Nothobranchius furzeri: one gene and its partners. The protein of the gene in region 2 interacts with the protein of the main gene of each other region in a biochemical or structural test. Links are inferred from orthologs where the notes say so. Each region holds a gene or a part of one and is shown on either strand. Other genes may lie near its edges.

Evidence for each region.
Region 1: the proteins of cbx5 (region 2) and chaf1a form a complex in vitro, tested with the Homo sapiens proteins (2 studies listed by BioGRID). The link is inferred for Nothobranchius furzeri from reciprocal best matches to the Homo sapiens genes CBX5 and CHAF1A.
Region 3: the proteins of cbx5 (region 2) and lbr form a complex in vitro, tested with the Homo sapiens proteins (2 studies listed by BioGRID, with this or other methods). The link is inferred for Nothobranchius furzeri from reciprocal best matches to the Homo sapiens genes CBX5 and LBR.

The regions. Positions count from the first base shown.
Region 1 is NC_091748.1:48,277,577-48,281,226, forward strand, and holds the end of chaf1a (chromatin assembly factor 1 subunit A), read right to left. Parts: intron 1,547-3,650; coding exon 1,237-1,546; intron 1,160-1,236; coding exon 1,078-1,159; intron 992-1,077; coding exon 879-991; 3' UTR 369-878; downstream 1-368. UniProt on the Homo sapiens protein: Acts as a component of the histone chaperone complex chromatin assembly factor 1 (CAF-1), which assembles histone octamers onto DNA during replication and repair.
Region 2 is NC_091755.1:25,772,324-25,776,550, forward strand, and holds the start of cbx5 (chromobox protein homolog 5), read left to right. Parts: upstream 1-1,298; 5' UTR 1,299-1,436; intron 1,437-1,906; 5' UTR 1,907-1,958; coding exon 1,959-2,086; intron 2,087-2,302; coding exon 2,303-2,543; intron 2,544-3,551; coding exon 3,552-3,652; intron 3,653-4,227. Other genes in the region: heterogeneous nuclear ribonucleoprotein A1, read right to left, coding at 339-350. UniProt on the Homo sapiens protein: Component of heterochromatin that recognizes and binds histone H3 tails methylated at 'Lys-9' (H3K9me), leading to epigenetic repression. In contrast, it is excluded from chromatin when 'Tyr-41' of histone H3 is phosphorylated (H3Y41ph).
Region 3 is NC_091742.1:28,052,353-28,056,432, reverse strand, and holds the start of lbr (delta(14)-sterol reductase LBR), read left to right. Parts: upstream 1-1,239; 5' UTR 1,240-1,723; intron 1,724-4,080. UniProt on the Homo sapiens protein: Catalyzes the reduction of the C14-unsaturated bond of lanosterol, as part of the metabolic pathway leading to cholesterol biosynthesis.

The DNA of each region.
Region 1 (3,650 bases), on a different chromosome or scaffold from region 2:
GAGTCTGAATCTCCAATAAAGCTTAGTATTTTTGTAAAGTTAGTGAGCAGCTGTGAGTTAATGTCCAGCTTTGAGTTGTACTCTGTTGCTTCTGAACCTGCTTGTGATAAAAAAAAATACTCCCCACTGAGGATTTTCTTCAATAAACAGAAACATGAGGCCAGTTTTTGTATTAATACCTTCACCTGATTTAACCCTCTCAGGCTCAAAATAAGTTTTGATAAAAGAACGAACAACGAAGTCCTTCAGCGGTTCTTCTGAGTTAAAAATGTTCATGAAACACGTGTGTGGAGTAACCAGGTAGGTAGGTTTTAACTGTTGCACATCTGCAACGCCTGCCTCCAGAGGGTTAAACCATGAAAGGAGCCTTAAAGGTGCAGAATTTTTATTCACGTTTAATGAATTTATCTTGTTCAAGTAATCTTGAAAAATACAGAAAATACATATTTATAAAACACCAACACTAACTGTACAAGAACAGATCTCTCAACTACCCCAGTGAGCTGTCAGACACGGCAGAGTAAATGAAACCAGGGACGAATGTACAGGTGGACATGGAGCCTGTTTCCCAGCATCGAGGTGTGATGAACTATTTACATTAAATCAAAAGAAAACCAGTGGGTTTGTTAATAATTCTCAAAAACTGTAAAATGATGGTGTTCCTGATGTTTTGAATTGTTATGAGAAATCATTTTTGCTCTGCTTTTATCCAAAAACAAGTGATCTATACCTTAGAACACGAGGCGAGTGGTACGGTAGAACTTAAAATATAGAGCTGAACACTTGTCTTTACATGCAGCGTGCCTCGATTTTCCTTAAGGTTTTAAAAGGGATGAGGAGGTGAGGAGGAGCGAGCACGGTGCGGTGCGGTCCTGTCCTCAGGCTGTGGGGAGAGTCGGAGCAGATCCACCCTCGGGGAGAGCAGCTGAATCCAAGGGGGTTGCCTCCATTAGATTGTCAATGGCAACAGTTGCATTTTTATTTTTAGAGTCTAAAATGTCAAGTAAAAAAAAATTATATCATGGAAGGCAACATTCATGTTAAGTTAGCAAGAACGATTTCCTTAAGGTATCTCACCAGTGTGAGCCGAGACGATGACACATTCATCATCATCCTCCTCAGTGTCAGCCTGAAAACTGTCTGCCTCCGTCGCTTCAGTCTGGATTCAAACAACAGGAATAAAGTCAGTGAATGAAAACCCACCTGAAGGTGACTCACCCGCTCAAAAACCCTCACCTGGTCAGGATTGGAACATTTCTTCATGAATTTTGTGATCGACATGCTGCCGGCGCTCTTCCGCTTGTTGGAGGAAGAAGAGGTCTGAGGTGTGGAGGGGGAGTTTCCCTGAGAGCCCGTGGCTGCCTGGGCTTCATCACGAAACTCCTCCCGAGCTCCTGTGGTGTGGTAGGTCCACTGGCACGGAACTGGGAGAGCCTCCTGGCCGAAACGGGACAGGACCTCCGCATGAACGTACCAGCAACAGCGCCTGTAGGAGGAGCGCTTCTCATAAACAGCGTTGTTCTTGATGAGACGCCTCAGCAGAATTCTGGTCAAAAGACGAAGATGAAATTAGATTTTCACATGGCTGATATTAAAACGTTTACATTTGCTGAAGACAAAGTTAGAGCTGCACAAGGTTACGTTTGAGCATCAACACTGGAATGTAGGAGAGCGCGATCGCTGGTCCTCAACGCGTTCTCATCTAACGGTGACGGGTAGCTGGCACGCAGCAATCCACCAATCACGTTTGTACTCATTGTTCACAGTGGATTTCATTGGATATCTGATGCACCAATCAACATTATACAGCAGAGTTGTCCAGTCCAGGTCCTCAGGGCCCACTGTGCTGTCTGCTCTCATTTAGGGATGCACCGAAATGAAAACACCAAAACCCAAAGTGAGGAAACCACGGCCAAATACCGAAATACAGAAACAAATGATTAAGTCAAGAATTAGAACCATAACATTGGCTAAGAGGTGTACTAAACCTCACTAAAAGCAAGGCATTGTAATTAATCAGTTACCAAACCATGGATATATTTATTTAGCACCGACATAACAACAAGGCACAAGATGCATTAAAATGTTTCACTTGACCGCACTTGTGTACTTTAAATAATAAAGTATAAATGTACAGCCGTATAACTGAAAGACCTGCGGCGGACTGTAAAATCAACCCTTTAAGCGCCAAAGTTTCAATATTGCGTTTATTGAGCCACAACTGCAAATATAATCCCTCATAAAGTTACTACTTTACACCAGAAGATAGTAGTGGCGTGTAACTTCAATCCGAGCAACACGTTTGTGTGTTTCTACTGACATTTTCAGAGTTTATAGTTTGAAAACTAAAATCAGGTGTGCTGAAGCAGAGACGTGGAAAACATGGGTGGGCTCTGAGGACCAGACGTGGGGAGCACTTTTGGAGTTATGTGAGAATTGGGTGTGGCACTGTTGACCTACTGTTAGAGGTTTTACCCCAACAAATGGGGCAACTCTTCACCAGCTGCATCAGTGGAGTTGTTGATTAAAAGCGTACACACCAGGGTCATTGCTGTAAACGTTTGAAGCTACAATGAGCATTCGCAGCTTTTGATAAAAACTGTTAGAGAAGGTTAAAGTCCCATTAGTCCTCACACACCGGTGAAATTCATCTTCACATCTGACCCATGCCCGAGGGCAGCGGCGAGCTGCAGCTGCTCTCAGGAACCACTTGGTGGTTTAAACCCCCCAATCCGACACCCTTAAAGCCGAGTGTCAAGCAGGGAGGCATTGGGTCCCATTTATAAAGTCTTTGGTAGGACCTGACCGGGATTTGAACCCTGATCTCCCAGTTCCAGGGCGGACACTTCCACTAAAAAGACGCATTCGAAGGAATATGATATGTTGGTTTGTAGATGCAAGACTTGTGGACTAACGGAGGAAATTAATTTGGTTTACCGTAAATCCTCTAATACAGGCCTGGGCCTGTATTCGACTCAAGCTCATCAAGCTCCAGGCCTTTATTGGAAGGAGGGCCAGTATTAGAGGCAGGCCTCTATTTCTATTTGAGCAAAATGAACTAATGGTTCGCTGGAGTTTTTGACAATTAATATTGCGCCCACATTTTCTAAGTTAAACACATTTCTTTTAACAACGGTAGTTTCTGCTTCAGCACTCTCTCCCCCCTCCCCCTGCATAGCGGCCGCAAACTCACTGATGCGCCTGCAGCCTTTCAGAGTTCCTGCTGCTCTAAACATTAAAATAATTATTTCATTTTCTGTTCCTCACTTCTGATTACCTTCAATGGTGTCTGTTTGTTGCAACCACCAGGTACAAAAACTAACTTGTTTTTATTTGACTATTTTTCTGTCCTGTCTGTTTATTATCTTCCTGCATCTCCTCTCCATCCTAAAGAGAAACTGCTACCTGGGTTCATTTATATTCACCTCATGAGTTACCTTTGAACTGCAATTCTAAAAGATCTACCGACCGCAAAAACAGCGGAGTGCTCGCTGCTTGGTGGCCGCATCAGTGATCGGTGCGTTGGAGGACAAGGTGATGCGCCCCGCTCCACAGCAGCGAAACACATCAGGCGCAAATAAAAGACAGAAAACATTAAAGGAAATGAACCGACATGAACGATCGCGTGTCAGTACCTACGGTCTGGCAGA
Region 2 (4,227 bases):
GCCATTACAGTTTAGGAACCGCTCAGACTAAAGTCAAAGAACTCCTTCTTTCAAAGAGCCAACACACAATTAATATGTACTCACTGTCGTTTAATGTGTTAGGGATATAATCGTTTAAGACTGGTGTTGAAGAGAAGCCACTGATGTCCTTTACAGATCATCATCAGAACAAAAGGCCACGAGGCTCAGCTTCTATAAAATGGCGGCTTCAAGAAAGCTCTGCAGCTACGGCACACAGTCCGTCGACAACACCAAGTATGGCCAACCTATAATAAAACTACCCAAAACCAAACTATTAATCTTACGGCCTGATATCCTTTGATAAGTTTAGCACTCACCTCTTTAGACATTTTGCCGCTTTATCCTTGACGACTCCTTGAGAACCGACCGCAGAGGAACTAGCTGCGTCAGACAAGACCAGCGACAGGGTGAACGTACAAGAAATAGGAACGGAAACGCCTCTTCCCCTCAGCGATTGGTCTGTAGTTCCCGCGGTACTGTGTCGTCAATCAGAACTGTATTTTGATTGGTCTAAATTTTGTCAATCAATGCGAACAACCATTCACTGCGTAGTAGGCATTCGCCTTTGTCGACCATGAAGAAAAATGGCCGACCTAAATTACATAAAGCCAAAAATGAATGTGCCTTCATCTATAAACAAATTATCTGAATTGACAGAGAAATTGAATGCTCACATTTAAAAGGTGCTGAAAAAACGACTTATTAACTTTTTTCTACGAAACGAGCCTAAGAAAGACAATAAACAATATAAAAGATAGACAAATTGCCGTCTGGCTAAACAACACGGGAAATATCATTCGCATGTTGGTACACAAGATGTCCCGTAATCAAACAAACCGATGCAAAATGTACAACTCTTGAAGAGTTTATGCTAAAGTATAATTTAAAATGAGCCAAATTAGTTAATCTGGGCTTTGTGTGTGGTGACTAAAGGGGGAAAATAACATGAACATAGAGAAATAAATAAATGCAGCAAGATTTAAACGAAAAATATATGAAAACATAAATTACTACAACAAAGTAGACGTATATATATTAATTTCTTTATTTTCAGTCAAATAATTGTAACCCTTTATGCTGTGTTTTTTTTTATTTTGTATTATCGTGTATACTTATTTTGTAAATTATTGTGACTGCAAGTTACTACAATTTTATAAACCGAACGTTAACGTTATAGAAAAGTTAAAATTTAGTAGGAAGGAACGTGTTTTCTAAACATTTATTATGTCACCAGCAGACTGGGGGCGGGTATGTTCATTGTGCGTTTTTAACGCGCGCTTTTTGCGCACGGCACCTTTATGTGCTACAGGCTAGATGCTAACGCTGGTGCTGCATTAGCTGCACTGCTGCCTCTAGATAAACGGAGCAGTCCCTGCGACCAGCGGCCTACATCCAGTGGGTTATACACTCCGAGGGTAAGAAACTGCGTTTTTGTAAATGTGCTTTACGCTGTTGCAAGTATCGGGTAGTTGTTTGATAAGTAAATTAGCGAGTATAGCATAGCTTTAGCACGTAAGCTAGCTCCTTTGGCTAGTTTGGGGTTAGTTAGCAGGACAAATCCCTTGGTCTTCATTGAACTGTGTGCTTTGTTCGTTTTCTGTGAGTGCAGTCTGGTCGCATATAACTATTTCAAACGGGCATATGTCGAGAAATGCACATGTATGGCCATTATATTAGCAGTTTTCCCATGCTTATCGTTCTGCTAGTGGGAAGAACGAGATTAAATGAAGATATTCATTGATGCACGGTAACCACGTTGTGTGGCTAACGCTCATGGTTGCAAACCTGCAGCTTGAGCTTAAATTTATGTGTTTACATGTGGACGAGCGCTGAGAAAAAATGGCATGTTTTGTGAGATGCTTGTTTGTGATTTCGTCGTGAACAGGAAAGTGCCATCGAACTCTAAAAGAGTGTAGTGTGAAGCACCCAACTCCGAGATGGGCAAAAAGTCACGTGAAGAGGAGTCCTCATCTGATGAAGAAGAGTATGTTGTGGAGAAGGTGCTGGACAGGAGGGTGGTGAAAGGCAGGGTGGAGTTCTTCCTTAAGTGGAAAGGATACTCTGAGTAAGTACCAAGTACCTGTTTACTGGTCAGTGACTTGATATTCCCGTTTTACACACACACACACACACACACACACACACACACACACACACACACACACACACACACACACACACACAGCACAAAAAGCATCAGTGAAGCTGGTTTGAGCACACAATATTACCCTTTTAAAAATGAACGTGACATTTCAATGACTTGTGCTGTGATTTTCTGCAGCAAGCACAACACATGGGAGCCAGAGAAGAATCTAGACTGCCCTGAGCTTATTTCAGAGTTCATGAAGACCTATAAGAAAAGCAGCAGCAGCGGTGGTAGTTCGACACCTAGCAGCGGGGCCAGTAAATCAAGCACAGGCTCATCTGGACGCACTAAAGATCCCAGCAGCTTAAAAAAGAAGGGCTCTGATGAAGAGGAGGAAGAAGAGGAAGGAGGAAGTAAGCCAAAGAAGAAGAAAGAGGTAAATTATCTTCATTATAGGTGAATTTCATTGACTACGTTTACATGCAGCCAATATCCGGGTTATGATCGGGTTAAGGTCGGTATTCGGGTTTCTGAGTTGATCAGAATAACCCGTTTACAAGCCCGTTTACAATAAATAGAAAGAGTTACCCCTAACTTGCATAACCCGATTTAAATGCGGACGGTGGGGTAGCGTCAAGACATATGGACTACGTCCAGACGCAATATGCCTCATTTCCGGTTCTTCTTGTTCCGGTATCCGTGAAAACAACAACACGTTTCCCAGTTCGGAAGAGACGGCGACCGCGTTTGTTTGTGCTTTAGTTTCTTCGTCACTGCGAAAGTGTGGTGCTGTGCCGCGACTCGCCATGTTGCTCCCAACTTGTTGTTTACTTCCGGTGTTCTGGCGCATACAAGACGTCTCGCTACTCAAAAGACCAAGATTCCTTGCGAACAGAGCATGTGCAGAACACACGCTTTGATGGGGATATCCCGGTATGCGTTTACACGACCAAACATTCGGGTTAGAAAAGGGTTACGCCAGGTGTAGTAACCGGGTTTTTAAAAACCCGGTTATGAGCATATCCAGGTTTTTGGCGGTGTTTACAAGGACCTGCGGAACCGGGTTATTGTGAATATTCGGGTTTTAAAAGGGTTACTGGCTGCATGTAAACGCACTCATTCTGATATGAATCATTTGTATGCGTGGGAGCATTTGTACTTAGCTCTTCTGAACTGATTTCTGTAAAGACTGTTTATATTTTAGCTAAATGTTGTAAAATGTATAATTTTGAGATGAAAATGATAAATTGTTTTTTTGAATTACCAATAATGCATTAACTTATGGGCAGGTGATGGGCAACACCTATACTTATTAAATAATATAAGTTATATCTAGATTTGACCTGTGTTTAGAATTGCTGAATTTATGGCCAATGAAATAGCCCTTTGGCAAATATTCAGCTGGCATTTTTAATTTTTTATTTTTTATTTTTTTACATTTCAGGATGAGATCCTAGTTGCACGTGGCTTTGAGAGGGGCCTAGAGCCAGAGAAGATCATTGGGGCAACCGACTCGTGTGGAGACCTCATGTTTCTAATGAAGTGGTAAGTTTTACTGGTAGACTCATTTTGGGAGATCTTCATTCTGTTATAATGACAATGCACTTACTTTTATGCACTTTGGTAATCATAATGCACCCATTTCGTAGTAAAACAAAATTTTCCTCAGACATAAACATTAGAAGCTAACCTAGCACAGGGGGGACTAACAGGCCTTTGTAGAGCTTGGTGACCTGCTGAACAGGTAATTCAACCATTCAGGTGTATTGCAGCAGTGAGATGACTAAAACATGCTGGGTATGGGGATCTCAGACACACTTGATCTAAGAGGACTACTATTCATTCTCGTATGACAAAGAAATATGCTTAAGTATTATAAAGTACTTACATTTTCAACTATTAAATGTCTAAAACAGAACTGGTTAAACGGTGCAGAATTGTTGCACCAGAGCACAGCACGATGTCCTATCATGAGCTTAAATGTCTAACAACCTGAATCTTTAACACCACATTACTACTGGCAAATCATTCATTAGCTAATCGCTGTTCCGTCATAAACAGTAAGCCACATCATAAAACTTTATGCTATTGCATATTAGCTAAATTTATACATGCAGTAA
Region 3 (4,080 bases), on a different chromosome or scaffold from region 2:
AAAGAGATAGCGGCGTATCAGAGCTAAAGACCCGGTCTCGGCTACGTGTGTCTGAGCCTGTAGGTCTTCATTAGGTCATGATCTCATTCCGTGTTCAAGGGCTTTCTCTCATCATGTTGCTCCAGCCCATCAAACACCAGGTTCTGTTCCCCTTCAGACAGAACCACGCACAGGCATCTCTGGTTTCAGACTGGGTTTGTGTGGACAGATGCCATAATCTATGTTTCTAACCCCAACAGAAGTACCAGCCAGACGCTGTGTCTTCTCTGACATGACTGCACTTTAAGACAGAAACTCGCAGAGCAATCCAGCATCGTGCCTGTCACGGGCAGCATGGCTCCATCACCAAAGGATTCAAGCCAGCAGCCTCCCGTCGAGCGTCATCACTAGCAAAGTCTCCTCTTTTACTTCTGTCAGGAGATATGGAAACAGGTGTGGTGGGCGGCAGGTGAGGGGTTCTCTGTGTGAAGCCAGGTAGTTTGTGCCTTGTTCCCAACATGCATTTAACACGTGCTATCAGAGTAATAACACTTTGTTGTCATATGCAGGTTTTAATTTGTCTTCATTTTTTATCGCCGTCGTGTGGTTTTAAAGACTTTTAGTACCGTTTATAAACATGTTTTTATTTGAATGTAGGGGACATCTCTGATTGGTGGAGCTGTTTCAGCTCACAGGTTCGATCCAGCTGAGGTCATCCTTCTTTTCTATTTGGAAGTCCAAGTGGGTGCAGTGTTTTAGATGTAAAACAGACTGTTTGTGTTCAGCAGCTTAGTTTTATTTTTAATCCAGAGTCAATCTAGTTTTGTCTGTGAAAGTTGGTTCTGCTACGCCTCATCAAGATGGTGGGAACCCCTCCATACAGCCAGGTGCGTGCTGATGGATGGGGGGTGCCTCTTACATAGCAGTTAGTTGGGTTTTTAGTCATCTACATTGTACCATACTGGTCTTGTGTTAATGTCTTTTCTTACACGCTAGCATACTGAGCAAATACAATAAAAGTTGCAATACACGATGTGTTTGTTTTATATAAATGACCCTGGATGTAAATAATCATTACATTTTTATTTTTCACATGAAACTGCAGATGTTTGTGCAGCTTCGCTGGCACAAACATCTGCAGGAGCAGAAGCAGCCTGAGCTGCAGACAGGAAACAGGGAGACGCTGCGGTTTGATTTTACAGCAGCTCTCTGGTTCAAACATATACAAGACACTGTCCTCTACTCAGCATCTGGACCAGAGAGGAGGGTTGGGTCTGGTGAGAGACAAGTACGATGGAACTTGGAATAAAACTTAAAAATCATAAACATTTAATAACCCAGTCGGAGAAAAGGAAGGAATAACTAGCAGGAAGTATAGAAAGATCGTTTTGCTGAAGCTGAAGACGCTGCAGGCAGAAACAACCATTTTGTTAAACTAATATGAGTCCAGTAAACAAAGGTGGTCGTGAGTCTCCAAGTCCAAACCAATCCTGACTCTTTTAAAATCCACCAGTAGCCAATCAGAGCTCAGAGCCGTTTGAAATGAACGCTGATCCAACCAATCAGAAGGCTTCGCGCCTTCCTGGTCACTGGTGAGTTCGCCCAGAGAGGGAGGGAGAACCGAGTTGTATATCAAACGTTAGCAAAGTTCTTTTTAAAAATATAGAACTCTTAATTTATTATTTCATCGTCCTGTGAATGATTGTTCATCGCTTTATCTCTGGACATATTGGCGCAAAACCAGGTAAGTGCGACCACGTCTACTGTATTAGCGTTGTTACCAAACAGCAAGTTGTTCAACTCTTTGTTGAAAGGTTAGCTGGTGCTAACCTGACGGCGGCCAGGGCTCGGGCTAATTCCTGGACTCGCAACAGATTTTCTTATCAGAAATAGAAGTGATAATATAATAACGACGGTTTATGTGTGTGTTAAAAACTTCGTTAAATTGATTATGTTTTTAAAAGTCTCAACCAAGCGCACTTTCACGTTAGCGACACTGAACGGGCCATTTGCCCACTATGAGGTTAACGTACGCATCTGTACAGTGTGCATTAAATAGACGGTGCGCGTACACACCTCTTAAGACTGTTAAAACGTATAGTAATAAGAAACAAGAGGGTTTGGTAGTAACCTGCGCTCAGCGCGCGGGTAATCCGCATACGGAAGCGTTTAGGAGCCGGTGTCGCTGGAGTTGGGAGTTTCAGACAGGATTTGAACACATGACGTTTTCCCTCCTTTCATTTGTGTTGCTTGTGGCAGCGTCAGGTTCCTTCGAAGGCCACTTGGCTAACGGAGAGCGCATCCCGTTAAAGACACAGCTCCCGGGTACCGTTAGGTTTTATTGTGATGCGTCAGGTTCCTGTTCAGCATGGAGGGAGTGCTGGTGTAGTGGTGCGGGCTGTTTCAGCTCACTGAAACTACTCAGCACGTCGTTTGGTCCGTCGCTGAGCGCGGGTTTGATGACACATTAAAAGATGGAGCTGTGTGCGGCGGTAAAGTGGCAAAGCTGCGAGGCGCAACGCGTTCGCAGATTTGCCACTTTTCTTTTCAAAATAAAAGCCCATCTCAGAAACGTATTTTGTGACAAATTATTCTAAATAAAAACAGGAAATACTTATGGAATTCCAAAGTTACCAAATCGTAGTTATATCGCCATTTTAACAAGGGATGGACTATGTATTGGCATCAATATCGGTATCGGCCGATGTTAGTCATTTTTTTAACATCAGTATCGGTCTGATAAATAAAACCAGCCTGATATTAACAACCGATATTTTTCCCATCTTGTCTCAATTTGTTTACCTGTTTCAGAGGGTGAGGGGGTGATGTGTATTTGTTTAGTCATGTGACAGTGATTGTAATCATCTCAGAAGCATAAATGTGTGTGGGATGTGTACATAATATAAATTCAGCTTTAATGGTTTTCATTCTATACAAAATATGCTGATTTTAGAAGCATTAATGTCAGCGTATCGGTATTGGCAAATATCGGTTATCTGCCCTAACAGTGATCTTAATATTGGTATCGGCCCAAAATTTCATATCGGTGCATCACTAATTTTAAAGGGACTCTAATGGGCCATTCCCATCTGTACCGGGTCGGCCCGGGCCGGGTAGTGTAGGTTGTTTACATATCTGGGTGGCCTGGTATTTTTCCGGGCCAACCAAGGCTCATTCTCAGCCCTCTTCTGGAGGGGGTCTGCTTCAGGCCGACCAGGGCCAACACACCCACTGCTGACAGCAAATGCACACCTTCTATTAGAGCAAGCCTCTGATTGGTGGGTAGAATCAGCCCACATGGGCTTAAGGCAAGGATGTGTGGAATCAACCGGGCCAGGCTGGGGCCGACTGAGGCTACCCGGCCCGGGCCGACCCGGTACAGATGGGAATGGCCCATAAGAAAGTTTGAAGTTTTTATGCTCGCAGTCGCCACCCAATTACCCAATCCTATTACACACACACACATAGCAGAGGTGGCTGGGAAACAGTAGGCATGAGCAAAAGCACTCGTAGAAAATTCTCGCCTGACGTGAACAGAGCAGTGGGCAGCACGCGAATTTCGTGAATGATCCACTTCGCGACACACAGCTGATGTGATCCTGGCGTCATGCCATTACTGAGTTGTAGTCATTTTAATTAGCAATTTTACACGTAAATAAATCTCAAATTATGTGACAGATGTAGTCGAAACACTTCATTTAAATTGAAGTACAACGCGTGTGATTGAGGGCGTAAAGGTAAGAAGACCAGAACCTTGTTCAGGGACCCACGAGCCGACCGGAAGGGGAGTAGACTCGGGTTCCTTATTAGAGACCGCTGCAAATGTCTAGGTCAGGGGTGTCAAAAATGCGGCCCGTGGGCCAAATCCGGCCCGCAAGCAGGTTAAATCCGGCCCGCGAGATGGTTGTGTAAACTTTATTTTGATACTTTACAATGTAGAGTAAAAATGAACTTATCAGTGTGAGCAAGTTTTCTCTGTAATGAGTATAAATAAAACAAAGCTGCGCTCAAGGCTCACACAAGAACTTGAATCCCATCCTGAAGTTCACCGCCACTCAGGATGTGACTTCTGATGTTGATGTGCTGGTGAAGCTAAAAGAT